4 linked regions of the Diceros bicornis minor genome follow. The protein of the gene in region 4 interacts with the protein of the main gene of each other region in a pairwise test. Links are inferred from orthologs where the notes say so. Each region holds a gene or a part of one and is shown on either strand. Other genes may lie near its edges.

What was found.
Region 1: the proteins of REL (region 4) and PIH1D2 interact in binary tests that used the Homo sapiens proteins (3 or more experiments, as listed by UniProt). The two-hybrid records come from large-scale screens. The link is inferred for Diceros bicornis minor from reciprocal best matches to the Homo sapiens genes REL and PIH1D2.
Region 2: the proteins of REL (region 4) and UBE2K interact in binary tests that used the Homo sapiens proteins (3 or more experiments, as listed by UniProt). The two-hybrid records come from large-scale screens. The link is inferred for Diceros bicornis minor from reciprocal best matches to the Homo sapiens genes REL and UBE2K.
Region 3: the proteins of REL (region 4) and ATPAF2 interact in binary tests that used the Homo sapiens proteins (3 or more experiments, as listed by UniProt). The two-hybrid records come from large-scale screens. The link is inferred for Diceros bicornis minor from reciprocal best matches to the Homo sapiens genes REL and ATPAF2.

The regions. Positions count from the first base shown.
Region 1 is NC_080746.1:24,219,440-24,226,383, reverse strand, and holds the start of PIH1D2 (PIH1 domain-containing protein 2), read right to left. Parts: upstream 3,010-6,944; 5' UTR 2,894-3,009; intron 2,100-2,893; exon of another isoform or gene 2,084-2,099; 5' UTR 2,058-2,083; coding exon 1,881-2,057; intron 1,284-1,880; coding exon 1,160-1,283; intron 777-1,159; coding exon 531-776; intron 200-530; coding exon 1-199. Other genes in the region: uncharacterized protein NKAPD1, read left to right, coding at 4,460-4,528, 6,376-6,476.
Region 2 is NC_080747.1:32,620,229-32,627,652, reverse strand, and holds the start of UBE2K (ubiquitin-conjugating enzyme E2 K), read right to left. Parts: upstream 3,011-7,424; 5' UTR 2,828-3,010; coding exon 2,765-2,827; intron 1-2,764. UniProt on the Homo sapiens protein: Accepts ubiquitin from the E1 complex and catalyzes its covalent attachment to other proteins. In vitro, in the presence or in the absence of BRCA1-BARD1 E3 ubiquitin-protein ligase complex, catalyzes the synthesis of 'Lys-48'-linked polyubiquitin chains.
Region 3 is NC_080757.1:1,434,931-1,442,859, forward strand, and holds the start of ATPAF2 (ATP synthase mitochondrial F1 complex assembly factor 2), read right to left. Parts: upstream 3,005-7,929; 5' UTR 2,865-3,004; coding exon 2,732-2,864; intron 533-2,731; exon of another isoform or gene 429-532; coding exon of another isoform or gene 347-428; intron 1-346. Other genes in the region: GID4 (glucose-induced degradation protein 4 homolog), read left to right, coding at 3,500-3,688. UniProt on the Homo sapiens protein: Plays a role in the assembly of the F1 component of the mitochondrial ATP synthase (ATPase).
Region 4 is NC_080751.1:26,337,956-26,345,934, forward strand, and holds the start of REL (proto-oncogene c-Rel), read right to left. Parts: upstream 3,007-7,979; 5' UTR 2,799-3,006; coding exon 2,789-2,798; intron 1-2,788. UniProt on the Homo sapiens protein: Proto-oncogene that may play a role in differentiation and lymphopoiesis.

The sequences.
Region 1 (6,944 bases), on a different chromosome or scaffold from region 4:
TTCAGAGGTTTTTCATTTTGATCCACCACAATTTTTAATTCATAGTCTGGTGTCTTCATCTCCACCTGGATCTCTGCACTAGAAATCTCTTCTATCAGACACCCTGTTTTGCCCGAAACTTGGTCTTTTGGCAGTAAAAGTTGAGGAGAGTGATCTGGATTGCTCACAGTACTACTTCTTATCTGTTCAAGGGTTAGTTCTTGATGAAAAAAGGGGGGAAATGAAATCACACAATTAATCAACAACAGAAAATACTAACAGGCTATGACCTATAATAGTGTTAGCCAAGATGGCAGATAAAACTGCAGCTAAATTAGTTTGGGAATCTTAAATCAAAAGAATCTTAAACCAAAGAATCTGGTTTAAAAGTATACAGGATTTAAAAATCTTTAAGGACATGCTAATATCTAATCTTTATATTTTTCTATCTTAAGTTTCTTTTAAAATCGAGAGTTCTAGTTTGCAAAATATACACAGGATGCAGAAAAATTTAAATCAGTTTAATTTTCAGTTTACATTCATTAACTTACCCTTTCTCATTTTCTCTCTTAAATCTGTGGGGTCAGTTTGGATTCCCATCAGATTTTGTTTCATCCTTTCAATGCTTCCTTTTATTCTAAATTTGGTAATATGGTAAGAGTGTGAGAGAGTGAATTGGAGTTGCTCCTCAATGCATTTCATGGCCATCCATATTAATTGATCTTTCTTCACTTGGTCCTTTTCTGCTGCCTGGAGAACATCAGGATTGTAGGCAACATCGATGACTGTGTAAAGATCTGTGTGTGTAGTTCAGAGGGTGTGAGATGAAGACAACTTGTTTCACTAAGGATATTGTCAGGTAATATATTAAGCCATAATCCTGATGAAGCTAGAGAGCATAAATTTTATTCTTGTATTTTTCAGAGGCAATCCTAACGGTGCTATATACACAAAATTCCAATTAGGGCATTTTGTGGCATTTTATATGGGTTAAAAACAGCTCATATTAATAGAAAAATTAAACAGTATTCAATTTGCATAAAGGTACACTTAGTCATTAACTACTTTATAACCAAATAAAATATTTTACTTGTAATGCCTTTTACCAAGTAAAATCTGGTCCATTCTTATTCCCAATAAAAATTTTTAAATGTGTTTTCTCTCCCATAATTCTGTGTACCTGATGTCTCAGATATATCTTCTGGTCTTCCAATACTTAGAGGTACTGGATGAGTGGTTGACTGGGGAGCTGGGATCCTTTTCCACTGACATAGGTTGATAAAAAGTATTTTTTCTTTTGGTTTCTAGAAAGCAAATAATTTTGCATATCTCAAAACCTAGGTTTTTGTTTTTAAATATCTTAAAGGTCACAGAATTTTAAGAGTGAGAATTTTAGGCTCCAAGTAAGTCATTCCATGTATTAAAACTGTGTTTGAGAAATTATACTGTTACCTGATTTCCCCAAAGCTGCTGGCTTTTTATCAAGAATCCAGTGGCTGCTCCCAGAGGAACTGGGAGGAGGAAGGGGAACTTGATCTAAGCAGCTGTTCCAGGTGAATTCGTTTGACCCTGTTTCACCACTTCCTTTCTTCCTCCACTAAATAAATTCTCTTTATTTGAAAAATCTCCAACTCTATGATTCTCTATTAAATCATCACATTACTCTTTGTTTTCATTCTAGCAGAAAAATAGCTCATTTTGAGATCTCCAAAATATATCAAACATGAATTTCCTTTTCTTACTCCTTCAAAACAATCTTCCACACTACTGTTTCCACTTAGAGTGGCAGTTTCCGTCAAGTTTTCTTGTGTTAAAGTAGCAATAGCTAAGGGTAAGCTATTCTCCAGTTATTTCAGGATCATTTCATTCATTCCCCATCCCTGGGCACCAACTCTACATACCAGGATCCTGGTTTGTAGACAGAGCTGCGGTTCTGGGGCAGCCCAGAGTTGTTTCCCCTCTTTCAATTGCTGTTGAATGAACTTCTCATAGCTCTCAGGATTACTTTCAGCCAGATCATCTAGGAGGTTCCAGAATTGAGTAACTTGGCTGAGCAGACCCTTTGAGGATGACTCCATGATTCCAGTGAATAGGCCTCTTACGTCTGTGGAAAGACTTGACTTAAGGGAAAAAAAGTCTTTGTAACTATTGATTCATTTCTTCTTTTAGGGGAGGAGGAATATGTCAGGAATTGTTTGGGTGAAGTTAGCAGCTATCCTTAACACCTGTGTCTGAAAAAACTGGGCTCAGCACCACTTTATCTTTTCCTTATTCTCTAATTATCTAGTAACCCTTCCTAAATTCTCAAGTTGTCCTCTCAAATAAGGCCTTACCTCTGCCTAGACCCTCACAAGCCCTGAGGGGACAGAGTAGTCATTTTAAGTCTGGACTTCCTGGTGATTTTCTCATTCCAGTACCTGGGCATTGGCTGACTGGTACCTATCCAGTCCTGAAATTGCCAGGGGTGTGTGTGGAGTGAGGGCCACATGCGACTTCCTCAATCCTCAGCACAGCTTAGTATTTAAAAGTATGGACTCGAGAGCCAGAACGCCTAGATTCCAATCGTAGCTCCACACTTACTAGGTGTGTGACCTTGAGAAATAATTTATATATGTGCCTCAGTTTGTTGTCCCCCAAATGAAGACGATAATACCTATCTCATAGGGTTATTGTGAGGATTAAGTAAGCTAATATAGAGAGGCTGAACACCTGGTTAACACTATATGCGTGTAATAATATCCTCTCTGACTGGAGATAACCTCCCTCGCACCCTCCTCCCTCACTGGAGAGATGTCCCACAGCATCCACAGAACGAGAAGAAGAGGAGGTCTGGGCTCTTCGAACACTATATTAGGATTAGACTAAATGGGAAACTTAACTAACCGACAACCATTCCGGAGGTCGCCCGACTCACCTCTTCTCTCAGTTCCTTGACAAACCGCTACACCTGTTACCAGGGTAACCAGGCTGGGTACAGCCTCTAATTGGGTCCGGGAAGCTGCAGACAGAAAGGTCTTTTTACATCCAGTTCCGGAGGGATCTCCCTCTTCTGATGCTGAGCTTGCTTTTCAGCTGAGCCCGACCCACTTCTTTTTCAGGAAGGCGCCCGTCTCCCTTCTGCACCTGTCGACCTCTAGCGCGTCCTGGAGACCCTCCCTGTGGGAGTCTTTTTGGGTCTCCTGTTGGTGGGAAGAATTTCTCAGGAGCACGACTTCCGGCCTGAAAGGGAAGCCTGCTTCCTTTCCTCCCAGACCGCTTCCTCCCCCCACCCCCGCCACGCGAGGCTGCGGCGCACGGTATGGGTGTGTTTGTGTGCATTTGTGTGGGGAGGGCGTGTGGAGGGAAGGTTACCGGGAGCTCTGTGGCCCCAGGGGAGCAGGGATCCCGGTGACAAAAATGGGGGTATTTTCTCTGTCTTCCAGTTGGAAGACTCAACTCCCCCTTCAGGCACTTTAGATACTTCTTGGGACCCAGTGGACGGTCATACCCTTCCAAAGCGTCCCCATCCTTTCTGGGGAGCGAAACCCACCCCCTGGGTCCGTCCCAGAGGAGCGTGAGCGGGGCATGCCCCAGCCGCCCCGACCGTCCGGATCCCTCGCCGGCGCAGCCTCAGGCCTCAGTCCGGAGAGGTACCTGCTGTCGGCCTGGGCTGGGGGAAAGGCCGCCGCGGCCTGGGCCGCGGGTGAGGGCAGAATAACCGGTGGGAAGGCTGCGTTTTCACGAAGGACTCGGGTGAAGCTGCAGAGCTGCCTTTGAGCCCTGACTCCTTGGCTTCCTGGGTCGGAGGAGATCTTGTAATGGAGTGGTTCTTCGTCTCACACTAACAAGATGCCTGATTTCCTCAGGATCGAGGGGTGAGTGAGCGGGGGGATGGTTGCACAAAGCCCCTGCTAGTGCACACGTGAATATCCCTGTCAAAATAGAAAATAAAATTCCCCTAGGTGGAGAAATTGAGGGCATCTCTGCATTCGATGTTTTTCGGCGTCGGTTTTTGTTACTGTTGACATTTGTGGTCCCTGACACTCTCAAATCTAGGTATTTGCTTCATCGCAAACTAATTTTGGGATGCGAGAGTTGATTTCTAATCAGGACCTTGTTTGCTTTGGGCTGTGTGGCCTGGAGCAAGTTATGGCTTGAAGGAAATTTCATCCATAAAGTAGGAATGAAGATACTTGCTTCATATAAAATATAGAGTTATTTTGAGGATTAAATAAAATGATACTTGCTTTTGAAAGCACTTAATTTTGTGCAATTTCAAAGAACTCCAGTGTACATTATCTCCTTTCATCCTCACATTAGTGTGGTCAGGCTTTTTCCCCTTGTAATGGTGAAGGAAAAACTGTTCCTCAGGATCTCTGACTTCGAGTTCAGTGATCTTTCCTTTACCTTATGCTTCTTTATAGCATTGTAATAAAAGACAAGGTGTTAAAGGGAATTTTTATTATTAAATGTTATTTATTGATTCATTTCAGATTGAAGAATGTCCCGGGTTCCATTGGGGAAAGTCCTCCTGAGGAATGTCATCCGGCACACAGATGCTCACAATAAGGTGAGAGGTAGAACCTAGTTATTCCTCAGCATTTAATGAGGGCATGCAGTGTGCCAAGCATTATTTTGGTACAGTTGGGAGATACAAAAGATGAATAAAATAGATAATTATAATACTATTTGATAAGTACTTAGAGACGTATACAAAGTGCTTTAGTGCACTGAGGAAGGAATAATGAAATCTGCCTTGGGGAATTAGGAAAGGCTTCACAGAATGGGTGGTATTTGAGCTGCTGCTATTTGGACTAGTTCTTGATGAACAGGTTCAAGTTTACCAGGTGTAAAAGATCATTCCAGACAGAACACCATGTACTAAGATGGCAACAAGAAAGAGCATGAAGCACTTGGGGCATGGCAAGAAATTGTGTGCATCCAGAAAATAGGGAATGTGGGGGATAGTGACAGAAGATGAGGCCCGAGTGCTAAATTACAGTTGGATTATGATGCTTGGAGATTAGACTTTCTCCTCTAGGCAATAAAGAAACCATCAAATGATTTTAAGCAGGATGTGACATAATTGCATTTGTATTTTAGAAAGATGATTTGTTAGCTGGGTAGGGGTTAGATCAGAAGGGTGAAACAGTAGAGAGATCAATTAGGAGGTAATTACAATGTTCCAGGTGAGAGATAATGAGGGGTTCACATGAAAGCAGTGATACTAGGGATGAAGATGAGGAATTTAGGAGATAGACTCCAAAGAACTTGGTGACTTATTGGATGATAATGATAATTATAGAATCAAATATAAACACCTTGTGTTATATATATTGACTGGGTGAATGATGATGCTATTAATTGAGATAGGGAACAAAAGAAAAGGGACAAGTATGATGGGAAAGGTAATTAGTTTGCTTTTGAATATGTTGATGGTGAGGTGCTTATAGGATGTCCAAAGAGTTGGAAATTCAGACTTGGAGGAAAGGAGAAAAGTTGAGGCTGGATGTAAAGGTTTGGGGATTATTGATATACAGGAATTGATAGAGGTCATGAGAATAGATGAAGTCACCTAGGAGAGCACATATGATGAAAAGAGGGCCCAGAATCCTTGTTTGGTTTTCTTTGGTGAACTGTACAACTCCTAGTTTGATCATAAGTGTTATTACTATCATATCTCCTGATATTTTGATTGTGAGTGAGGGTATAACTGTTACCTAAGCAGCCTCTGTCATCATGTTAAACCACCCCTGGTTGGATAATGAGCGTAGATTTGAAAGTGGGGGCTAAAAGAGATAAATCTACCACAGATTTAACAAAACATTACAGAAAGACTTAGAAATAAAATGTATTCTTGTTTTTGGGCAATTGTAATTTGCTTTTCAGGAAATTCTCTAGCAGTTCTCATTTGTTCTATTTTGTTTTTAACAAAAATTATAATGTTGTGAGAAGAGACTTAGCCTAGAAAGTTTAAAGACCTGTCCTTACTAGCTTTTTGACTTTGATAAAATCTCTGAGCTTTTGTTTCTTCTCAATAAGATGTAATAATGGTACCTGCTTTGTTTTCCTCATAAGATTGCTTAAGGTTCACTTGAGGTGATACAATTAAAATCACAAAGCATTTTAGAAACATAAGGATTATCATTTGCTAATTGCAGCATAACTGCAAAATTTATAAGGTAGTAAGTGTGTCTATGCAGGGGTTAAAAAGTTCTGTTGCTGCAGAATTCTACATATTTGAGATTTACTGCGTCAGATTGTTTAACCACTCTAGAGAAACCAGAATTTGCTTCCCACGTTCCTGATTGTAACCCAGTCTGTAATCCAATAATTAGTGCAGACCATATTTTCAATTACTTTTCTGTGTTATTTTTGTTAAATTATTTTTATTTCTTTCCTTTTAAAAAAATCTAGATTCAGGAGGAATCAGATATGTGGAAAATAAGAGAACTGGAGAAGCAGATGGAAGATGCTTACCAGGGGACCAAAAGGAAAATGTTACCCAGCAGTTCAAGGTGAAGTTGCAGCTCTGAGAACCATAATAATTCTCATCTTAGTCAGAGTCATCACCTTTTGTTTAAAAACACTTCAGTGTGCTTAAGATAGATGAATTCAGTTCAGTGAGTCCTTAAGCCACCTCTCTTTCATAAATCTAGACCCAAGCATAAAGGTAATGGCTGTGATGCATATGGCCTCGTTCTTTGTACTTGTTTGCAATGGAGAATTTAAAAATTCTGCCTTGAACAATTCTAAACATCTAGGATTCTGTGAATTCTGACTTAGCCTGATGGCTTTTAACTCAAGATTTTCTATTGGTATCTTATGGTCACTTAGCTGATCATTCACTCCCTTCCCCTATTAGTCTTTCATTCTCTCTCTCAGCCTTTTTTTTACCCCATCTACTTACTATCTTCGCCAAGTCACACGGCCTTTCATATTACCTTCTTAATAATTTGCATCTGAATATGAAGGATTATGCAGGC
Region 2 (7,424 bases), on a different chromosome or scaffold from region 4:
TTATTTCAGTAAATAACAAATTCACGTGACTCAAAATTCAAAAGGGATCTGCTGATGCCTGTTGCCCTAGACACCAAATCCTCCTACCAAAAGCAATCAATTTTACCAATTTCTCACTAATCTTTTCACCTATACAAATACACAGATTTCCCCCCTTCTGACACAAATGACAGCCTCCTCCACACTATTCTGCATCTTGCTTTTCACATTCGATTTATCTTGAAGCTATATTTTAATTAACTCCACACTCCAAGAATGGCCACTTACAACTTCTTATGGCCAGAATTCAGCAAATATCAGCTATCTTTTCAAAAGACTTAAAAGGTAAAAAAAAGTCCATAAATCAACCCTTCTTCTTAGTAAACACAAACATATAAAATAAACTTTGGTAAACTGGAGATTTACATAGGTGACATGATGAAATACTTGATTACTTGACCAGCCATTCAAAATACTGCATTTACATTCTTAAAAAGGAAACACATGGACTGTACTACAAGTCCTTCAATGAGTTGAAAATAACCAACATAAACCATTTATAGAACTGGGCCTACTAAAACAACGATGAAATAAAATATTGATGAAAATAGAGCTATTTATCGGTTACATTCCAAGATTAAATTATCTAACCCTCTCCTAAATGTTCTTTGCAATTTACTTTCTGGAAGAGTTTCCTTCCAGATTTATAAAGATATTGTTCTTAAAAAATAATTTGTCTGTTTGCATTTCCTGTTTCTACCTCTAAAAAACACTATGACATTTACTTGAAGCAAGGCTTCATCATCCCTAACATATTAAGAGCAGTATTATTTTAACAATATGCATTACTAGAGCAATACAAGATTTCTTTTAAGCTTCAAGTTAAGTACCAAGAATATGATGGTGAAAAGTCACCTCATATATAGCAGAGACGAATTATGAGAGCAGTAACTTGACCACTTTCAAGTAACAGAAAATAAAGCATTAGAAGTCTTATTTTAAGTTTCAGGCTTGTACAACGTTATAAGAAATGTTTTAGGCTGTTGGTAACAATATTAGCTACAACTGTCATCAAGAATATATATGTCTACTATCCTGGAATATATTTTCTTATTAAATAAGTTAGAATTATTGTTTCACTGATTATCAGCACAGACATTTATGACTCTGTTTTTGCACTGTACCACAAAAATACAAAGTCATCCTTCCATTCAGAGTTTTGGCACTTGGACAAATACAGAGGTCAGAGTTCATACACATGCTCTGTAAAACGGACCATTACTTATATACTACTACATTCAATAAATCTGTCAGTATTTGTCATTTTTCAATAATTTTAAAGAATTATTCTTTGTCTAATTGGAAAGATACATAATCACTGTAGATTCAGCAGCACAAATAAAGCTCAAGTGCTATCAAACTTATGTCAATTACTCATCACATACTTAGAATGCTGAATTTCACAAATCATTGAGATTATCAAAGTACCAACATAAGAGAAAAATACAAGTAGCAATGATACATTCAATAATGGTATGTGACATCTTGAAAAAAATAACCATTTCAGTATTACTTCTTAATCTTTGTTAAATCCAAGGAGGAAAAACAACCTGACATTATTGTTGATTTGGGTATGAAAAACTGTATTGATGCTTGCACAATTTTGAATCAAATTACTAGAACATTTTGAATATCTTATATAAATAAATGTGGTCAACGCTAGAGTATTTAAATTCTGCAGGACTCAAGAGCAGCTTGAGACAAAAAAATTTTTTTTTAATCATTTCAGATACGGTATCTTGGGATAAATCTACTCACTTAATAAAAAGATATAACAATGTATTAATCTGGTGAAATCCCATGTTTTTAATATGGCTGTTTTTCAAAAGTAAGAATCAAGTTAACTATGAGGGACATCATAATGAAGTTTCATGGCACGACACAACAGAGTCACAGAGGCATTGTCTTAGGAGAGACTCTGATCGGTAACTTGTAAACAATATTTTGAAATAAGCTACTCATATACTGTTATTTTTTCCTAGCTAAAAATATTTAAACGTTTTTAATACACCAAACAACTGGCCTTTACCCAGTCAAAAAGCTTTAGACGTCAACAGAAAAGAGGCCTAGGAATTGGGGGAAAGTGCAAATAAAATAATGCTCTAATTTGGAATTAATTTCCTATCTCAGGTGAAAATTCCCTTATTCCCCACTCAAATAAGATAGTATCCCATCATGTCTCCTCTTCTCTCCCAACATCCAACTAAGAGGGAGTAACTCTGAATGTCCTCCTCCTTTCATCAATACCTAAGGACAGGACAGTGGAGGCCAGACAGGCTATATCCCAGAATACCCTTAAAAGTGTGGGCCTTTCAGCAGCGCGGCTCTCCGGATCCAGTTACCACCTTTCCCCTTCCCCCAACCCACTTCCCGGGTTTTCTCAGGCTCGGCCTGCTCCCTCCCCACCCTACAGCCACACTCCCAGCTGTTGCCACAGCCTCGGGGCTCTCTCTAGAGCTCACATCCCGTAGAAAAGTGCCCTTCTCCATCCGCCCCCCCAAACCGGGTTCCTCTCCAGACCACCCGCCCGCGAGACCGTCCATCCCAGGGCCCTAGGAGGAGAGGGGAAAGCGGCGGAAGGAGGGGGAGACTGCCGCTTCCCCACAGGCAGAAGGGCGGCCACAAGGAGGGCGACCCGGGGGTTACCGGGAATACTGGGGTCGCCGCCGGAAGGGCCCTCCCGCCCAGGGCTGAGGTGGGGGATGTCCGGGAGTTCATTTCTGACCTCCTCGCTCTTCAGCACCTCCTTGAACTCCCGCTTGATTCGCTGCACCGCGATGTTGGCCATGTCTCCGCCCGCAGCTGATTCGTACCCGCCTCCTCCGCCACCGCTACGACCACCGCCACCGCCGCCACCGCTTCCTCCACTGCCTCCTCCCTCGGCGATTCACACCCGAGCACACGAACGCTGCCACTGCCACCCTGGCCGCCGCGCTCTCCTCAATGTAGAATCACCTCCGCGCCCGGCCACCAAAATGGCGCCGGGTCCGCGCATGCGCAAGACGCTGACCCGGCCGGGCGACGCAGCCGCTCCCGTTGTAGCCCCATACGCCTCGGCCGCGAGCCCGCGCCGCGCCGCGCCGCGCGCCACTGCCCGAGCTGCGGCCGCGTGGCTCCGCCCTGCTGGCGTCTGGGGCCAGGAGGGTGCGGCTTGCGTGCTGACCGGCTCTGCCGGGGCCTCCCGCGGCCTCTCCCGCGCCTCCGCCCATCTTCAGACCGGTGCGTTGTTGTCCGGGCTTCCAGCCCCTAGCCTCTGACCGAAGGCTCGGGTCCAACCTGACGGGTTCACGCGGCCCCACTTGTCTTGCAGCGCCGTCCTGACTCCCAGACCCAAAACTTCGAGGTTTGATGTGGCCGGCTGTGTCTAATGTACGAACACACTATCCCAGAACTCAGTCCGGCCCACTTTCTGTTGGTATAGGCCCAGAAAATCCGCTGCGGTCAGTGTTTGCTCTGAAACCATTGTAGTGTCACTATTATTATGGTCATTTAAGGTACTGCAAATCACTGAATTAAATATGGTCATTGTTGGGTCCTATCGGGTGTATTTGAGACGAGTACTCCATGAAGATGCCTGAAGTGGGTTTAGAAGCCAGATGTTGATCTTTGACCTACTTAGATAACTAATACCAAGCCGTGGAACTAAAACCATGGTTCTTAAACTTGAGTGTACATCAGAATCCCTGGAGAGCTTGTTAAAAAAACAGATTGCTGGACCCTATCCATAAAGTGTGGGGTGGGCCTAATTTACATTTCTAACAAGTTCCCAGATGCTGGCTGCTTCTGAGAACCACTGAACTAAGGCATGTGAAGGTAGTTTATGTATTAAAGTGAAAAATGGAGAAATAGTTGTTTCTTTGGGGAGAAGGGTAGCTTTGCTTCCGAAGCCTAGGGACTACAACGGTGTCTAGCGCTAGTAGGCACTCAATAAATATTGAATGAATAAATGAGTAAAGATAAAAGTAAAATGTTTTAAGAGGAAAGTAAGTTTGAAAGGCAATTGAAAAGTAGTTTCTAGGGTTTACAGTAAATAATATGGTTTTGGTGCTGAGAGGTACTTCGAATAGAACATTTTGGAATAAGTAATAAAGTTTATATTTCATGCACTTCTTTCACCTAACCCATCAGTAAAGTATCATATTAGAAAAATATCACAAATATATAGTCGTAGCAAAAATTTCTAAAATTGTGGCAGCAAAAAAGGAAATAGCCCCTGGTGTGAATCATCAGTGGAGGCACATGGCAAAGAGTTTCTTGAACTCCTGCCACGGGGACCAAGAGTGGATTTTTGATTCCAGCTCTCCACCATGCCAGCTTTCTTGGCCAACCTTGGTTTCCTCATCTGCAAAATAAGGAAGCTGGGTTAAATAGATGATGTCTTTCGAGTTTTAAGAGTTCAGAATTCTAAAGCATTATCTCGAAACATTTCGCTGAGTGGACTAACATAAATTATAAAAACCCTTCCAGCAGAGCCCCCTAGTGGTCCCAACAGGAACCAACTATATATGTGGGTCATGGTACGAGTTATTGGTATAATGTAAATCATGCAATGATACATATCTGTATTTGTGCCAGTACATTAAAAATAATTATTCTGAAGTGTGCAAAGAAACTTTTTGAGTACGTTACATTTATAACCTTCATTCAGTTCCCAGTCTTAATCTTGGAACTTCAAAGAAGCTTGCAACACTCAAATCACAGGGGGGACTGCTAAGAAGGGTATGGTAATTTCTTTGGGGAAGAGGGGTTTGGTAATTTTTAAATGCACATAATCATTGGCCCTGAAATTCTGCTTCTAGGGAGTCATTCTGCAGTCCTTCCAGAGGATGAGGCAACTGCATATTAACTGATATGAGACAATCCTGAAAATACATTTTAAGGGAAAAAAGCACTTTGCTAAATACCCAATGTGGTATCCTGGATTGGACCCTAGAACTGAAAGGACATAAACTAATGAAATCCGAATAAATTTTGTAATTTAGTTAATAGTATTGAACCAATGTTAATTTCTTAATTTTGACATGGTACTATGGTTATGTAAGATGTTGATATTAGTAGAAGTGAGTAAACAGTATACAAGAATCTCTGAAACTTTTCTGTAAATCTACAACTATTCCAAAAGAAAAAGTTTACTTTTAAAAAAGCACTATGCAGTCCATAATGTGTATAATATGCCACCGTATGCGTGAGGGAAGAAAGGAATATTCTTGTGTATATAATGCTTGTGAATCCATAAAATATCACTGGAAAAATAGTTAAGAAACTGACAACAGTGGTTGTCTCTGAGAAAGCAACTTAAGTGCCTAGGGGAAGGCAAAGTGGGAGACTTTTCACCATGTATCCTGTTGTATATTTTACCTATTCAAAACTAAATTTTTTAAAATGGGTTTCCAGTAATGCAGATTATAAGCTCTTCATTATTATGATCTAGTTCTGATTGATTACTTAATTAATTAAATATGTATTGAGTGCCTACTATGTGCCAGGCATGATCTAGACCCTGGAGGCATATCAGTGAACAAGAGACAAAAAAAACCTCTCAAGTTGTAAGATTTACATTCTGGCAGGGATGAGAAGAATTCATCTCAAATATAGTCTGCAGACACCTGGGTGTCCGTAAGATGTTTTCAGGGGTCAGTCTGCATTGCCCAAACTATTATCATTATAAAACTAAGACATTATTTGCCTTTTTACTGTGTTGACACTTGTACGAATGATGTAAAAGCATACTGAGCAAAAACAATTACTGTACTACCAATAATTTTACTAATGCCACACACTCACTATTAAAAAATGCCAGTTCCACTTCAAAATGTCTTTGATGAAGCAGTAGAAATTATTAATTTTATTAAACCTCAACTTTCAAGTACGTCTTCTTAATGGTCTATGTGATACTTGGGAAGGATACATAAGGCCTTCCACTGCATACCAAAGTACATGGTAAAGCACTTGTGCAGTTGGTTGAGTTGTGAGCTGAACTAGCCACTTTTTTCATGGAACACCATTTTTACTTAAAATAACGATTGAGACAAACTATCTTTATTAAGAGTTGGGTATTTTACAGACGTTTTATCAAAAATGAACATGTGAGCCTGTCACTTCAAGGAAAACAACTGGCAGAATTTGTTGCCAATGATAAAATTCAACCTTTCAACTGAAAATTAGTTTTCGAAAACATATCTACCACTGTAACTTGGCAACTTCTCAATACACTTAAAGACATTTCTGATTAAATTGGTGGTGATAATAACAAATGTGATTGCTTGAAATTGTACAATGAAATGTGTCAAAATTTGGAAGATCTGCATAAACCATTGAACCAATATTTTCCAAGTGACCAGTGCATGATGTTACAAAATCACGCATGGGTAAAACATCCGCTGGAGGTTCAAGACGGGCCAATGGATTTTAATGTAACAGAATACCAAAAGTTCACTGATAACATTTCAGATTCTACATTGCAACTAATCTTTACAAAACGACCATTTGTCTTGATTTAATGTAATATTAAAGAAGAATATCCACAATTATCTGAAAAAGTTATTAAAATATTCCTTCCCTTTCCAACTATATTGGAGGCTGGCTTTTCTTCATATACTTCAATAAAAACAACATATGCAACATATTGAATGCAAAAGCATATGTGAAAATCCAGCTTTGTTCTGTTAAGCTAGGTATTAAAGAGATTTTGTTTTGGAAAATACAGTTATTTTCACTAAAGATATATTACTTACATAAGCCTGTACTGAGTTTATTATAGTTATTTATTAATATTTCAATAATTTCTCAGTTTTAATTTCTAACACAATGTTGTTTAACCCACATGAACAAATGCTCTTTGGAATCCTCAATATTTTTGAAGAGTATAAAGGAGTCCTGAGTATATTTGAGTATACAGTACTGCTTAGACACGAGAGTTAAATCTAAAAAGTCACACCCTTTCAGAATACATAATTTACATAAACATTATGTATGTGAAGTTGTAAAATTGGTTTTAGATGATGAAGGAAAGTTAATCTGGTAACTCTTCTGCTGCCCCTAACAGAACAATGTGTTTTGATGTGTTGATTCACATTCAAAAAAATGCAACAAGGCGTAATAGGGCTTTGCTGACCCCTGATAATAACTGCCAACGTTCGAAATGTGCGAGTCTTCCTTTTTGTAGCTCCTGCTAGTTTTTATTACTGCTCTTCAGATTCAAATTGCCTGTTCTTCTAAATGCAGAGCAATTTTTTTCCTATAGCCCTTTCCTGACCTTGTGTTTTGCCAGCCTTTTGAGACTTTTTTCCTTTCTTTCTCTCACCACTGCCTATTCTACCCAAGCCTCTCATTTAACTCTTTTTTTTTTTTTTTTTTTTTTTTTTTTTTTTTTTTTTTTTTTTTTT
Region 3 (7,929 bases), on a different chromosome or scaffold from region 4:
CCCTCGAAGCAGCTGATGGATCTCTGACAGCTGGTTCACAGACGGACCGCCACACAGCCTCACACAGATCTCCTCCAACACCTCAGTGACCCTTTCCTAACCCCCTCCTCTCCTGACAACCTTCAATGGCATGGCCATTCCTAAGCAGCCAAGTTCAGTCTGCTTGCCAACCGAGGTCTTCGTCAAGAAGGCCCAACTTGGGTTTAATCTTCCACTACTCCAAAGACTCACAGTCTCAAACTGGTCAAGTCTTTGTAGGGCACTCATAGGCCTGGTTGACATACTGCCCCCCACTGTGCTTCGCTCTTTCCTTCATCCATATTTTTTTTCATGTTTGACTACCTACCATGTACCAGGCACTTCCAAGAGCCTAAATTAGTGGCTCTGCAGTAGAAAGGAAAAGGAGATGGCAGATCAAGTGCCACCATAACGGGAAGTGGCCTCCACTAATCTAAATTAATCCTCCGCTCATGCCAACTTCAGTGAACTCTTGAATGTGTCCCCTCTGCCAGTGTTGCGCCTCCCTGGGATGCTGTAAAGGAAAAAACACAAAACCTCTTATTTGCCTTTACCTTTTCCTTTGGGGGTTTTCCCACCAATCAACTCTGCAACACCAGCTGGTGTCTACAATTTAATTAAGTTCTGACGCTATCTACCTGGAGTTAGTGTCAGATCCCACAGCCTAAGGGCTCAGCCCAAGACTGATTCCCCCCTCCCCCCATGCCCCACTTCAGACACCGATCGCAAGTCCAGGTTGTCACCTGTGCTTCTGACCTGTAAATGTGAGATTCCCAGGATCCCTCCTCAGGTTTGATTAATTTGCTAAAGCAGCTCACAGAACTCAGGAAAACATTTTACTTACTAGATTACCCGTTTATCATAAAAGGGTACAACTCAGGAACAGCCAGATGGAAGATGCACAGGGCAAGGTATGGGGAAAGGGGCACGGAGCTTCCATGCCCTCTCTGGGCATGCCACTTTCCTAGCACCTCCATGTGTTCAACAACCCGGAAACTCTCCGAACCCCGTAGTTCAGGGGTTTTATGGAGGCTTCATTACATAAGCGTGATTGATTAAATCACAGGCCATTAGTGATCAAGTCAATCTCTAGCCCTCTCCCCTTCCCAGAGATCAGGAGGTGGGGCTGAAAGTTCCAACCCTCTAATCATGTGGTTGGTCCCCTGGCAACCAGCCCCCATCCTTAGGGGCTTTCCAAAAGTCACCGAATTAACATAAAGTCAGACGTGGTTGAAAGGTGCTTGTTACGAATAACAAGATGTTCGTTTCACCTTTATCACTCTGGAGTTATTTCAGGACAAAAGACCAAATACTATAACAAAATATTCTCCTATAGCTCTTATTGCCTAGTAAATTACAAGCGTTTTAGGAGATGTGTGCCAGGACAGGACGAAGACTAAATATATATATATATTTCTTATTATAAATCCCAATATCACAGATGCCCTTCCTTCCTCCTCTTTACTGGCTCTTCATGGCCCACCTCCAGGCCCTTCACCTGGGTCCTGACAGGTGAAACCCCAGCTCCCTGCTGCATCATCCCCATCTACATAAACTTATGGGACTTAACCCTCAGAGGCAACGTAGTCCTTCAACTCACAGAGGAAAATAAGGCCAGAGGAAGCAGTCACATGCCCAAGATCACACAGTACCTCAGAGGTTCAGCCAGCATCAGACCTAGATTTGTACTTCTGCCACACTGCCACACTGCCTATAGAGATCTACATTTTCTAAAGCAGACAGTGTTACACCAAGGTCCCTCAATCCCCACTGTCACCTCTGGACATGTTCTAGCCACCCAACACTCTTCCTCCTCCTCTACACCAAACTCCTACTCATCTATCAAGACTCAGCTTAAATATCCTTTCACCCAAGACCCTTTCTAGACCCTCAACACCCCTAAGATGGGAGTAGGTGCTTCTTTGTGTTCTCACAGCTTCTTTGCACTTCCCTTATCCAGGATATTATAAGCTGTTTAATCAGGATAGCATAACTTTCTGCACTTTGACAGTGAACATCATCCAGGTGAGAAGTATGTCTGTCTTGAAGACCATGGTGCCTTCTGCCCTCAGCACAGAAAAACTAATTGAATGGAAGGAGAGTGTTACCTACTCTTCACTCATTTAAGGGAGTCAGTCACTCCCACTCTTAAGCTAAGACCTCTCCCCAAAAGCAAAGAAAGAGCCACGACCTTCTTCTAGGCCTCCTTCTAGGTGGTAGGGCAGTAGGAGGGAGGGCCAGGAAACCTGCGGAGAAAGTGGCCGGATGGAAGACTGAATGCCAGGGTTCTAGGCCCCTTCTGCGCCGGGTCCTGGGGCCAGAGAAAGCAGTCAGACAGGCCGACCTTTGCCCTCCACAAAACTCGCAGAGTCTGCTCTGTGACCTTGGCGTAGTCCTGATCCAGAACCCGAATTTCTTTGTCCCAAAACAACGATGACATCTGCTTTCCTTACTGAAGAGAGGAAAGCCACAAGCTTTGAGAAAAGACGCACTTCCTAAATGTCAATTACTGACTCCGGCCGGGACGCGCTTTGTGCCCTGGGGTGGTCCCTGCTCTGGCCTGGGCTTCTCTTTCCCGATCTGTAACAGGATCCTGTTGACCTGCGTAACCTCATGAGCCCGACCCCTAACTCGGTTACCTCTGCCTGCACGGCCGAACCTCTCAGCCCGGCTCGCCCCTGGCCAAAAGGGAACGTGCCCTGGCCTCCCTCACCTGTCGGGGGTGCGTAGGCCCGGGCTTGGGGCGGGGGGGTTGGCCCCGGCCTCACGGAGGCGATGAGGCCACGCCGGGGCCCGTTCAGGAGGCGGCGCCCCTCGTCCCGCAGCCGGAGGCAGGTCCTCCACATCGCACCCGAGGGCCTGGGAGGACGACAGGCGCGAAACCTGAGAGCAGGAAACAGAGCGAAGGGATCCGCAGGCTCCGGCTGTACGGAAACCTCTCACTGCCTGCCCCAGAACCCTCAGCCTGCCCTGGACGCCGCCATCTTCCGCATGACACCAACGGCGCGCCGTCGCTCGCGCGCGCATCCTGCGCACACCCCCAGTCAATCAGCATCACAAACGCACCTCGCCCCGCCCCCTCCACGCCGCGTCTCGGGAAGAAGACTACAAGTCCCAGAGGGCCCCTCGCGCATCTCGCCACGTGTTTTCTACACCCGCCAATGGGTGGAAGCGCCGCGTGAGCCTGCTCCCGCCCCCCCGGCGCGCTCGAGCCAATTGGAGGGGGTGGTGTGTGTGCGAGGGCAAGTGGGGAGGGGGACTCGGCTCAGGACCAGGAGGCCCTGCTAGCAGGTCCCGGGGTCCCGGTGGCGGCCGGAGCGCTTGGTCCGCAGGCAGCGGGCGGGTGGTTCCCCCCTCCCGCCCCAGCCCCACGCGCGCGCGCGCGCCCCGGCCCCTCCCTCCCTGCCACCCTCCGCGGCTCCCGCGCGCCGGCGGCGGTTCCTCTCCCCTCCCCCCAGCCCTGGCTCCGGGGGACCCCGCGATGCCGGTCCGCACCGAGTGTCCCCCGCCGGCCGGTGCCTCGGCCGCCTCCGCGGCCTCGCTCATCCCGCCGCCGCCCATCAACACCCAGCAGCCCGGCGTGGCCACCAGCCTGCTTTACAGCGGCTCCAAGTTCCGCGGCCACCAGAAGAGCAAGGGGAACTCGTACGACGTAGAGGTGGTGCTGCAGGTGAGCGCCGGGCCGGGCCGGGCCCGAGGGCCTCCTCGCGGCGCTCGCGGGCCGTGCCCGCCCCCGGCTCCTCGAGCCCGCAGCCGCGGACCAGGCCCTCGCCACCGGGCCTCCCGCACCCGGCGCTTCACCCCCGGACCTGCCCAGCTGGTGTCTCACACGCTTCGAACCCCAACCCTGACCTGCCCCCTCACACCCGGAGCCTGTCGTGAGCAGCTCCTGGCAGACCCTGAACACTGTCCCAGACATGAAGCCCGTGACCGGCCCGCCTGGGATCCGGAAGCCCCTTATGACTCGCCACCCTCAGACCAGGGTCCTTCCTCTCCATGACCTGTCGCCCAAAGATCGGCCCTCCCTCGTTCCCTCTCAGATCTTGAGGAGCTCTCCACTGATTTCTCCTGACTCGGGACCCTCCCCATGGCTAGGCCCATGTCTGATTCTCCCAGACCTGAGACATGCCTCCTTGCCGCCTTTCCTCCCTCCCAGGAATCCTCAGGCTCTGGGGCCCTCCTCCTCCTCCTCCTAGGGTTTCGTCTTTGGGACGAAGCTTAATCAGCCCCCTCAGATCTGGGAGCACCCAACCCCCTTTAGCCCCTGAGAGCCCACAACCTACAACTGATTCCTGGCTCGTGCCCCCTCCCCCAACACCAGGCACTCACATCCTGGGTGCTGCTGGGAGAGCCTCCTCACAGTATGTTAGGTCTTGTGTCATGGGACCCCCTACTGCTCCAGTCTCTTCCTGGCTGGGACACCCAGGCCTCCTGCCCCAGGCTTCTCATACTCCTTACCCCTCTTTGGCCACTTCCAGTCTGCTCCCAGTCTCCCTGGCCTGCCTACCCAGATCTTCCCACCCCATGCCTTCGTCTTCCTCCTTTCTTGGCACCAGGGGACCCTCTTTCCCTGTTCTTAACCCTTACCTACACAGCCAGGCTTCCTGCCAGTCTCTGATACCCATGTACTGGAAATCTAACTCACCCAGTTTTAGTTCTCACATGGATAGTTCCTTCTCATGTCTATCCACCTCCCCCGATTTGACCTGGATCTCTGAGTGTCTGCTGCCAGCCCCTGATAGCTTTGGAACTACAGCTTCACCTGCCCTGGCCCTTTCCTGCACCTCATCCCTCTCATGCAAGTGGTAACACATTTGGCATTTTTTCCCCAGCCAAAGGAGATGGGCAGTGGTTAATGCTCCTTTTTCTCTCCCTTCCTTACAAAACTGTTCCTCCTTTCTACCTACCCTTGCCTGCCTTAGGACCCACTTCCCCCCTCCCTCTGCGCCTTTATCCTTAGCCTGACACCCCATCTCCTAGGCTGTTCCCAGAAGCCCGTCCTAACAGCTGTCCCCTTGAAAGGCCTTACAGAAGCTTTGAGGTCCTACTCTGCTGCCTTGCTGCTCCCATGTGAGGACAGAATGTAGGATGTGTCTTTTCCTTAGGCTTGCCCTTTGCTCTTTTGAAGTTTTAAATCTTAACGTCTCTTCTGAACAAGTAGATCTTCCACCCAAAAGACTGAGAGCATTTTCTTATTGCTAACTGCAGAGCATTGATCACCCTCTCTTTTCTTACTGTTTTGTTGGAATAAATATTTTTCTCTTTTTTTGACTGGGAAAACTACATCTTCATGTTAATTGTGTCTTTGGTCTATAAACTTACACTTCTGTTATGAGCCATGATATTTATTGTAAGTGAAAAACTATTGTGACTGAGGTATTTCTGTCTTCGTAATTGTAGGCCTCACGTGGTGATCCCCCATCCCTTTTGCTTAAAATGTGAGAATTTAGTATGAAAGTACAGGATTTTTTTTTTTTTTCAAGTAACTATAAAATTCTGCAAGTGAGATCCCTGGTGTGGTCGTGTTTGGAATGATCTTGAATTTGTGCCCATTGTTAAATTTGATGGTTTCTGATGTGGTTGGGGGACAACTGGCATGGTAGCTAAGTGTCAGAGAGAAGGCTGCTCTGGTTACTGTGGCAACTGCTGTCATTAGTGTGTTGTTTCTGAATTCCTGTCAGGTGCCAGTTTCCTTGTGAGCCAGTGGAAGCGGTGATTGAGTTGGTGCACGATTGCTATGTCTCAGGGCAGCCCAGAGCAGACACCTGGCGATGGCTGGAAGCCACTTGAGGAGGATGTCTGTGGCGGGTCGGGGGGTGGTCCTGCCCAGGAATGCTGCGCTGCATCTGGATTGGTGAGCTGTTTGTCAGTCATTGAAACAAGTCAGTGGCATGTGAATTGCCCCATCATCTGGTTTTTCAGCCAGGACTAGTTTCTTGGACTCTACCTTCCTAGAATACTTCTGCCTTTTATAACTCAGCCTCTTTCAAGCTTGCTTTTTTTCATATCAGCTTAATTGAGTTATAATTCACATACCGTAGAATTCACCCATTTAAGGAGTACAATTCAGTAGTTTTTAGTATATCCACACAGTTGTGAAACCATCACTGCAATCTAATTTTAGAACACTTTCATCACCCCGAAAAGAAATCTTATACCCCTTAGCCATCACCCCCCTCCAACCGTATGCAACCACTGATTTTTTTGTCCTAAGATTTGCTTATTCTGGACATTTCATGTAAATGGAATCATACAATATGTGACCTTTTGTGTCTAGCTTCTTTCACTGAGTATAATGTTTTTAAGGTTCAACCCATGTCACAGCATGTGTCAATGCTTCATTCCTTTTTATTGTTGCATAATAGTCCATTGTGTGGATATATGACATTTTTTTTAATCCATTGCTCAGTTGATGGATATTTGGGTTGTTTCCACTTGTTGGCTCTTATGAATAATGCTGCTGTGAGCATCCATGTACAAGTTTTTGAGTGGACAAATGTCTTCAATTCACTTGTGTTATACCTAGGAGTAGAATGCTGGGTCATATGGTAACTCTATGTCTAACATTTTGAGGAACTGCCAGACTGATTTCCAAAGTGGCTGCACCATTTTACATTCCCACTAGCAGTGTCTGAGGGTTCCAGTTTCTCCACATCCTCCTCCACACTTGCATTGTCCGTCTTTGTGTGTGTGTGTGTGTGTGTGTGTGTGAGGAAGATCAGCCCTGAGCTAACATCTGATGCCAATCCTCATCTTTTTGCTGAGAAAGATTGGCCCTGGGCTAACTTCCATGCCCACCTTCCCTTACTTTATATGGGACGCCACCACAGCATGGCTTGACAAGCGGTGTGTGTGTCCGCGCCCGGGATCCGAACCTGTGAACCCCGGGCCGCCAAAGTGGAGCGCGCACGCTTAACCACTGTGCCACCGGGCCGGCGCCTTGTTCATCTTTTTGGTTGTAGCCATCCTGGTGGGTGTGAAGTGGTATCTCACTGTGGTTTTGATTTGAATTTCCCTAATGACTAATGATATGTTGCTCATCTTTTCATGTGCTTTTTGGAGCACTTTCTTTTTTAGAGATTTCAGTTTGAAGAGTTCCTCAAACCTTTGTGAGATTCTGACGGGGTTTTTGTTGTTGTTGTTATTACTGTGACTGTTCTGTTTCTCCTCTGCCATGCAGGAAGCCAAGAGTGAACTGAAGGCCAGGGTCACTGTGAAAGAAATATTAAAAAGAGCAGCTGTTGGACACAGCTGTGCTGTGAAACCTTCTTTGCTAGACATTTGCCTTGTTCTCTTTCTTGTGGAGATGCTGGCCTGTCGTTTGGTTAAAGCTCTCTGGGTTGTGGTGTATTTGAGTTCACCAGTCGTCATCAGGATCAGTTTGGGCAGAATGAGCGAGACGCGTGGTTGAACAGAGGCCAGACTGAAATTCTGGTTCTTGAGCATGTGATAATCCAGGCAAAATGTTAGCCAGTTTACAGTTCAGTTTTTAATCTCATTAGCAGATACCCTTGCCACCTGATGCCCTTTCCAGCAGCTGTGAGACCCCAGACTGTATTGAATTCAGTGAGAACTGCATACATGAAGTTTGAGGACTCAGGTTAGAGCTGTGTGTCCTCTTAAAAGATCTTGGCTGAGCCACGTTAGTGCGGATCAGCTGCCTTAGGTAATGTCCAGTGCCAGGGTCAGCAGACGCTCTTGCAGTTTTCATGTGGAATACTGTTGTCACCAGCACCGAGCTGGGAGCACTTCAGCCTCATTGAAGCCCGCTGGCTGCGGTGCTGACCTCGCCTGGCTGACTGAGTTCATTACAGTTTTGGGGGATTGCCTTAGTATTTGATTTATGGTGTAATTGGAAATAGTAGATCCCTGAATCTGATAAATTCCACAAAATTTTTCTAATTTCTTAAA
Region 4 (7,979 bases):
ACTGTCATCGCTACATTTTCATGTGTTGCATTTCTGAAACAGCCTTCATGTTTATGTGCGTAGTCTTTTACTTAAAAGAAGTCATTTGCTTTAGCTATCAATTCCAGCTTCCAGCTTTATCATTAAAGATTGTCGCATCATACTTACATTAATTTTTTTCCCCTTACTCAAGAGAAATAGTTCTCTTGAAATTCACACTACAGACAGAGTTGGTAAGTAGTGCGGTTTACAAAAACAATTTCTTCGTGTACTTCCTATTATGTGACATAGCAGAACTATACTAAAGAAAACTGAATAAAAATAAATTACCTAAATTTTAAAACATATTTTACCAAAGACAGTACTATTTATTAGTAAATAAACCTATGTGCACACAAGAACAGGTTGCACTTTCTACTGGAGCAATGAGAAGCTTTAAATTCAGATATAAAATAGATAATTTAACTTATATTAAACAGAATAGAATTATATACATATACAAAAGTCATGATTGCCTAACTATGCATACCCTAGATCGGACTGGGAACATTTTTCTTAAAAATGCCTATTCTAATTAATCATGTCAAAAGACTGCAATCGGGATATAATTAAAAAAAAAAAAAAGCAATAAAGACAGCTTAATAGAACTCGAGCTGTGAAATCCTAAATAATTAATCTGATAATTTACCTGAACAAAATGTAGAATCATATATATACCAAAGTCCCAGTTACTCATGGTACTTATATAATTTTGCTTATGAGATTATGATCTGTTACTTTTTGTTATACAGATCACATATTCAACTACACATACCTATTTACATATGACATCCGGTGAAAAATGAAGAAATGGTCTTAAATGCTTGGTAATCAATAAAAATACTTTCTGAGGTTTTAATACTACCTTACTACAAACAGAATCCAAACTAGACAATGATTAACTAAGCAAATTTTTTTTCTGTTACTCGTTTGGTTAAATTACTGTTTCAAAACAGGATGGGAATTTATAATTTAGCGAATCTTTTTCTCTGAGGTCTTTACAAGTGATTAACGAAAGTACATCCAGGCTCCCTTTTAAAAATTTTGCTTAGCAGTTTTCAAATAAATGAATTACAATTTAAATAACTTCTTATAGTTTAAATAGCCCCATTTGAATGCAACTCCAGAAAAGGCAAACTTTTAAAAAAAGATAATTACCCTACAACTTTCCATTCCTTTAAATTTTTCCCCTTCAATTCAGGGAATACATTTTCAAAACAGCACAAAATATAATGTCATCAAACAAGTTTAAATTGTATCACATTTTTAAATGATATGGGTCTTACAATACTCTCTATATAAATGGTTAATTCTTTTCTCTGTCTTCTGAAAGAATTAGAAGTACTGCATTCATATTAACAAAGTTTGGTTAAACTGCCAGCAGGCTGACCTTTATTTATAATGCTCGCCATTCTTTACTTCTTTCATACAAAATCTCTTTCCGGTAACCAATAAATTAACCAAATATTTCAAATCATCTTTGCACTTTTCATCTAAATATGCTTTGAATTTATGAATTTACAAGATTATCTGAAAGTTTGGGGTCACTGAAGTGGGTAAAGAGAAAGTTGAAATATTTTAGACTACACTTGTATTCTCACATGAAAACCACAGACAAACTGAAATCAAATGTCATGTGAACCACCCCAATTTCCTTTTCAGCCTACAGCAGTAGCTACAGCATTGTTCTGCTCAAGCCTTTAAAAAAGTCCTTTATGCTTTCTACTTCCTCTTCTCTGCTAGACATCAGCCTTCTGAGGGTCACTGAACCAGGGAGCTGGGAGGATGCGGGTCAAGCATAAACAAGCCCCCCTCTTCGGCCTCCCAGTATAGTGTTAAGGTATACTTTTAGGCCTGCCTGCCTTTGCTCACGCTGCTGCCTCTGCCGGGAAAGCGCCCTCATGAACCTAGCCAGAATCCTGTCAAGGTCCATCTCCAACGCAGTCTACTTGATTTACTTCCCTTAGGTTACAAGTGGACCTAAACCTTCGCTGCATACGATATGAGACTCCCTCCCCTGACCTCTAGCTGTTTCTTGGTTAACTGGTTTACCCCCAAAACAAGAGATCCACGCACTTATTAACTGAAAATAAATATTTACATAAGTGATAGAAAGTTGTTTTCATTCCGACTCATATTTTAAAGCACGAGTACTCTAAAAATCCTCTTTTCCCCTTCTTTCCAACAAGGGGGAAAAACAAAAACAAAAATCGACTTCTGCTCCGTAAACTAGAAAGTATGCACTTTACAGTAAAAATTATCCACTTCGATCAAGCAACATTTCCACTTAAGACCTGTTAAAATACCCCTGGTGACTTTTAAAGCCGCACCACATTTTGCACAACTCGCAGCACAACGGCGATCACCCTTTGGCACTTGATGAAATTAAACCAAAAAAGGTAGAGCTCTCCTGAGGTCTGAATGTTCCTCATTCCTGTTCTAAAACCATTTCAATATAAATCACTTTTTAAATACGAGAATTCTTTGCCCTCCTTTATTTAGATTCTTATTACTTCCCTAATCCTAAAACCAAGTCGTTGGAAATTTCTAAGGTCCCAGCTATCATCATGGCATCAAATTACAGAGCGTGACTTTGATTTCGCACGCAAACCCTGAAGCAGGTAATTTTTTAAAAGGCCGACAATTTGCCAGAAGAGGCGATTTTAAAGACCGAATGTGCCACAACCAAAACTGCGCCCGGAAACTCTGGGCAGCAAGACCCTCGGACTAGCTCCTTCCCCCCGGGCCGGGTCGGCGCCGGGACACTCACCCGAGGCCATGGCTCCGCTCCCCGCGCCGCCCCGCTCCAAGCGTCGGATCGCACGCAGGCTGCCGTAGTCAGTGACCCGCCGCTCAGTCGGGCGGCCGAGGGACCTCTGCCGGCGGGACCCCCGTCCCCCTGACCACCCCCGGGGCCTCCTCCTCCTTCCCGGCCTCCTCTGGGTTTGCGGCTCACACCTTCCCCACCCCCTTAATTCTCGCGCTCCGGGTCACCCGGCGCCGCCGGTCCAGGCTGCGGAGCCAGGGACAGGGGGCGGAGCGCGGCGACAGCCGAGCACCGGAGAGGCCGACAGGCGGGCAGCCTGGCGGGAGGGGGATTTCCCGCGGCTGACGTCGGCCCCTCACCGCCGCCTTCCCGGGGGCGGGGGGCGGGGCGTCCTGGCGGCGGGCGCGCGCGCGTCCGTCCACGGCTGCCCGCGCTCCGCCCCGCCCCTGCCCCGCCCCCGCGGCCACTCCCGGCAGTGCGGCTGGCTGGGGACCCGGGCCGGGGAGCGGGAGCGCGGGATCTTCGGGAGCGCAGGGAACGCTGGGACCCGGGAGGTGACGGTCCCGAGCGTGCGGAAGCTGCCGGCTCCTGAGAAATCCCCCTCCTCCGGGTTGTTCTTCGGCGCGTGGTTTAAAGTTCAGGAGCAGGTGGGAGGGTGCGGTGACGTCGAGAGGGCCGGCCGCCCGGGAGCACTTGGGGGCGGGCCGGGCGGCGAAGTAGGGCTGGCCCTCCCGGCTGGGGGGTTCGACTGCCTGGGGTTTTCGATGGGTGGTTCCCCCTCTTCCCGATTTCGCACATGCAAATCGCCGCCCCCGCGCCGGCAGGCGGCTCGGCGCAGGCGTCCCGGTGCGCCCTCGCGGGGAAGTGCGGAAGCGGCTGTCGTCTGTATTCTTTTGTAATTCGTGTATTTGCATACGGGGACCCCCGCAGTCTGACTTTCCCCCTTTATGTCTAAAATGCGAGGGCTTTGTTAACTTGACGTACTTTACCTACTAAAACTTTTTAAACTCTTACGGTCCGCGCTGTGAGTTCGTTGTCTCATTACGCGGTGTGCTCACAATTAGTGAACTGGACAGTGTCTTGGCATTTGACGAGGATACCGACAAGGAAGGGGGGACTGGAACGAACGTTTAGTGTGTTGCAGGAATCTGGTGTAACTTGGTTTCCTTCATGTGCTAAGCACCTCCCATGTGTCAGTTTACCTCATTTATAAAGTAGTATTATCCTCATTTTATAGATGAGGTAATCGGGGTTCAGAGAAGTTAAGTAATACTTCGGAGAAGTTAAGTCAGTCCCTCAGAATGCTAGTAAAAAGAAAAGCACAGTTTAAACCCAGAAGCTGTCTGACTCCAAAGCTCTATGTCCTTTCCGCTATCCCTTACTGCCTAAAATAAGTCTGAAGGGGGAATGGGGAATGTCAGCCTGCCATACAGGTGCCAAGCTGGAGGACCCAGTTGGGGAAATAATTAAAAATAAAATCTACCAACCCCAAAATATCCTCTCCACAAAATGTAGAAAACTAGAAAAGAATGAAACAGCTTAATTATTGAATAAGCACACTGTGATGCGCTAAGGAGATTACAAAAGACAAAAAAAAAAAAATCTCACTTTATATAGCCATGGGGAGACAATCCATTACATACCTGTTGTCTTTATCCAAAGGAAAAATAATAGGAAGTTACATTTTTGGGGCCAAAAGCCGAGGTTTAAACTCCCACAGAGGAAGAGAGATGGGGCACCATCCTCCTTAATGTTCACATTTCAAAGAGATGGCTCCAAGGACCCCAGAAAGACCTTAGGGGAATGCAAAACTGGCAAGAGGCGTATTTAGGTTTTTAAAAGCTGTACAAACATTTAAGAGAGACAGAGAAATCATTTACAAATTAGGTCTTTCTAAAGGAATTGTTCAGTGAAAACGGAGAGGGTAATGTTCTCTGTCCTTTTTGGCACCAGGGAAATTTTTTAATTTAAGTTTTTAGGCTTTTATTTACCCTTACAACCCCAAATGTCAGAGCTGTAAGGGCAAACAGCACAAATGTTTAAGAATCCATTAGGAGAGTGAGGGACAAATAGGAATGGAAAATATTTTGTATGTGTTTGTTTATATTCCACCTCCAGAAACTGATTGGTTATTTAGGTGCTTCTTTAACTTAAGAGGGGATAATGTTTGTTTACTGAAAAGTTCTGGACCAAACAGAATCTGTCCCAGTTGCAGGACCCCAGACCAGTCCCAAAAGCACTCCAATCTATGAAATCACAAGCTGCACCTTATGAGATTTAGTAACACTACAGAATTTTGAACTAATTAAGTTTTATCTTTTATTTTTCAAAGACTCTGACTTATTTAAATCTCCTCGCTAAGAGGATGGCATGTTTATATTGATTTCCAGGGCTATTTTTATTTGTCACATGATTAAGCTGTGGATTTATATTATCTCACTTTTTTAAAGGTTTTTTTTTTGTAAAACCCTTTCACTATTTTTTGAAGTAGCTGAACCCTTTTTTCAAAGATCCAGTCCACATCTGAAAAGTGAAAATCTTTTACTTGTGCAGGATAAACTTAATTAGAAAAAAAGGAAGATTACAAGACAAACTGATGGATGGGCTAAAAACAACAACAAACAGTGATTTTGGTTTTCTTTGGGACTTATGCTGGGGAAAAATTTATTACTGTAAAGATAATAGGCAGCTAGTTGTTGGGGATTATAGAGAAGAATAGCACATGGTGTTTTTTCCCCAAGAGCTTACAGTTGTTGGTAACCGGTCATTCAGTTCAACAAATATCTACTCTGTGCCAGGTGCTCTTTAGGAGGTGGCACGTACACTAATAAACAAGACAAAATTTCTCCCTTCATGCAGCTTTGTCCCACGTGAAGACATCAAGTATGTTAGCAAATAAGATCATTTAAATTACTATTATTAAAATATTTGTTTCTTTATTGCTATAAAGAAAATAAAGCAATAGGATAGAAAGTCTGAGCAACCAGGTACAACGGAAGGCTGGTGAAGAAAGAGGTTTGAGAGGGAAAGATCAAGAGTTGTGTTTTGGACATGTTAAGTTACAGATGCAGAATGTTTAGACATTCCACTAAACAGTTGAATATGCAGAACTAAAGCTAAGGGGAGAGATCAGGGCTAGAAATAAAGATTTGGGAGTCAGCAGCATTTCATTTAAGATAATACCACCTAAAGAAGGAGTGCAGATACAGAAAAAAAAATTTAGAGAGACTGAGGATCCGCCAAGTCTTAGAGAAGTGGTGGAGAAGAAGGAGCTGCCAGTGAAGTAGGAGGAAAATGAAGAGACTGTGGTGTCCCAGAGAGTGTTTCAAAAAGAGTGAAAGTGGTCAGCTGTGTTAAATGTTGCTGAGAGATTGAAAAAGATGAGAATAAAGAAATGACCTTGGATTTGGCAAGATAAAGGTCATTAATGACCTTGATAAGAGCCATGTCAGTGGAATGGTGGGGATAAAACCTGAATTGGAGGAGGTTGAGAAGAGAATGATGGAAACAATGAGTATAGACAACTCTTTGAAGAGTGTTAAAGGAAACAGAAATGAGGCGATAGCTGGAGCGGTTGTGGAGTTGTGTTAGGCTAAGGGCTATCACTGACAGCTGCAGTCTCAACAGGTTAACATAATTAAAGTCTACTTACCATTTGAGTCACAGTCCAATGTGAATTGAATAACTTTCTTCCAGGAGTAACTCAGGGACCCTGGTGCCTTCTATCTTGTAGCAGCAACATGTGGCTTTCAAAGTCACCTTGGGAAAGGAAAAAGAGTAGAAGATCATGAATGGGAGATTTTTATAGGCCAGGCCTGAAAGAGGAATACATTACTTCTGATCACAGTCGACTTTCCATATGGCCTCCACAGGGGGCTGAGAAATATAATTTAAGAAATGTAATTTAGCTGTGTGCCCAGAAAGAAGAGAAGAAAATAGATATCAGTGAGCCCTAGCAGTCTCAGACACTGAAGTTTTGTTTTGTTTATAGAGGGTGATATTAAGGCATATTTGTATAAAGATGAAACTGACTCAGTAGTGAAGGAGAAATTGATAATGATAGAGAGGAAGGGGGTAATGGGTGGGGAAGGGAGGAAGGATGAAATCTAGAGCACAGGTTATGTGGTTGGCCGTAGATTGGAATGGGGGAACCGCCTCTATGGTAGCAAGAAGGAAGGCAGAGCACGTGCAGAGAACCTTTGTTTCTTGGGACTGGTTTGGTTATCAAATGTCCCACCATGTCTGGTTTTCAGTGTGTGGGATATCATACACCTTGCATTTGGATAGCTCTTTGGAGCCTATGGGGGACCACATAGGACCACGGTGATTGATTTTATTCTGAAATCTTGTTATAACTACATCTATTCAGCTTGATGACAGGTGTCTTTTTTATTCTTTCTAGAACAACAAAAAGTCTCTTATAGAGCAATTTCACTTTCTTTCTCTCACTCTCACTCTTTCATATTCTTCTAGGATCATAGACCTGGAACACGTCTATTTGCTAATCAGATTTGTTTCTTGAAGGGTGTAACTTCTTGATCGCTGCATCATTAAAAAAAAAAAAGATTTTATGTGTTTAAGGCATGTTCTTTTAGTATCAAGAGCAGTGGTTCTCCACCTTATCAGATCAGTGTCCACTGTTTTATAACTTATATTTGTAATATCCCCTTTACTACCCTGAAGTGAAATTCATAGATATATACCTTATGTATATATTTTCAAACAAAAATAATGCTCTAAGAGCAATATCAAGCGTAAATAAAATGAAAGCCATTTGTAAAAATATAATATTGACTTCAATATGTAAACACTTGGCATGAATAATAGAAAATATATATATTGGTCTTTGCCCCAGTTTCCTGGCACAGAGCTCCTAAATCCCTTGGAATTTTCTGGGTGATAGCAGTGTCTTTTGTCTAATGAGATGACTTTGGGTGGGCTCCTGGATGGCTCCTGGGTGGGGGCTGGTCAGTAGAAAAACCAGGCCATGATTAGAAGCTTGGAATTTTCAGCCTCATTCTCCAGAGAGGGGAGTGGGGCTAGAAATGGAGCTTATAATTGATCATGCCTACGTGAGGAAACCTCCATAAACATCCTGAGAGTAGGGGGTTCAGGGCGTTTCCAGGTTGGTGAACACGTGGAGGTGCTGGAAGAGTGGGTCTCCTGGAGAGGTCATGGAAGCTCCAGCGACCTT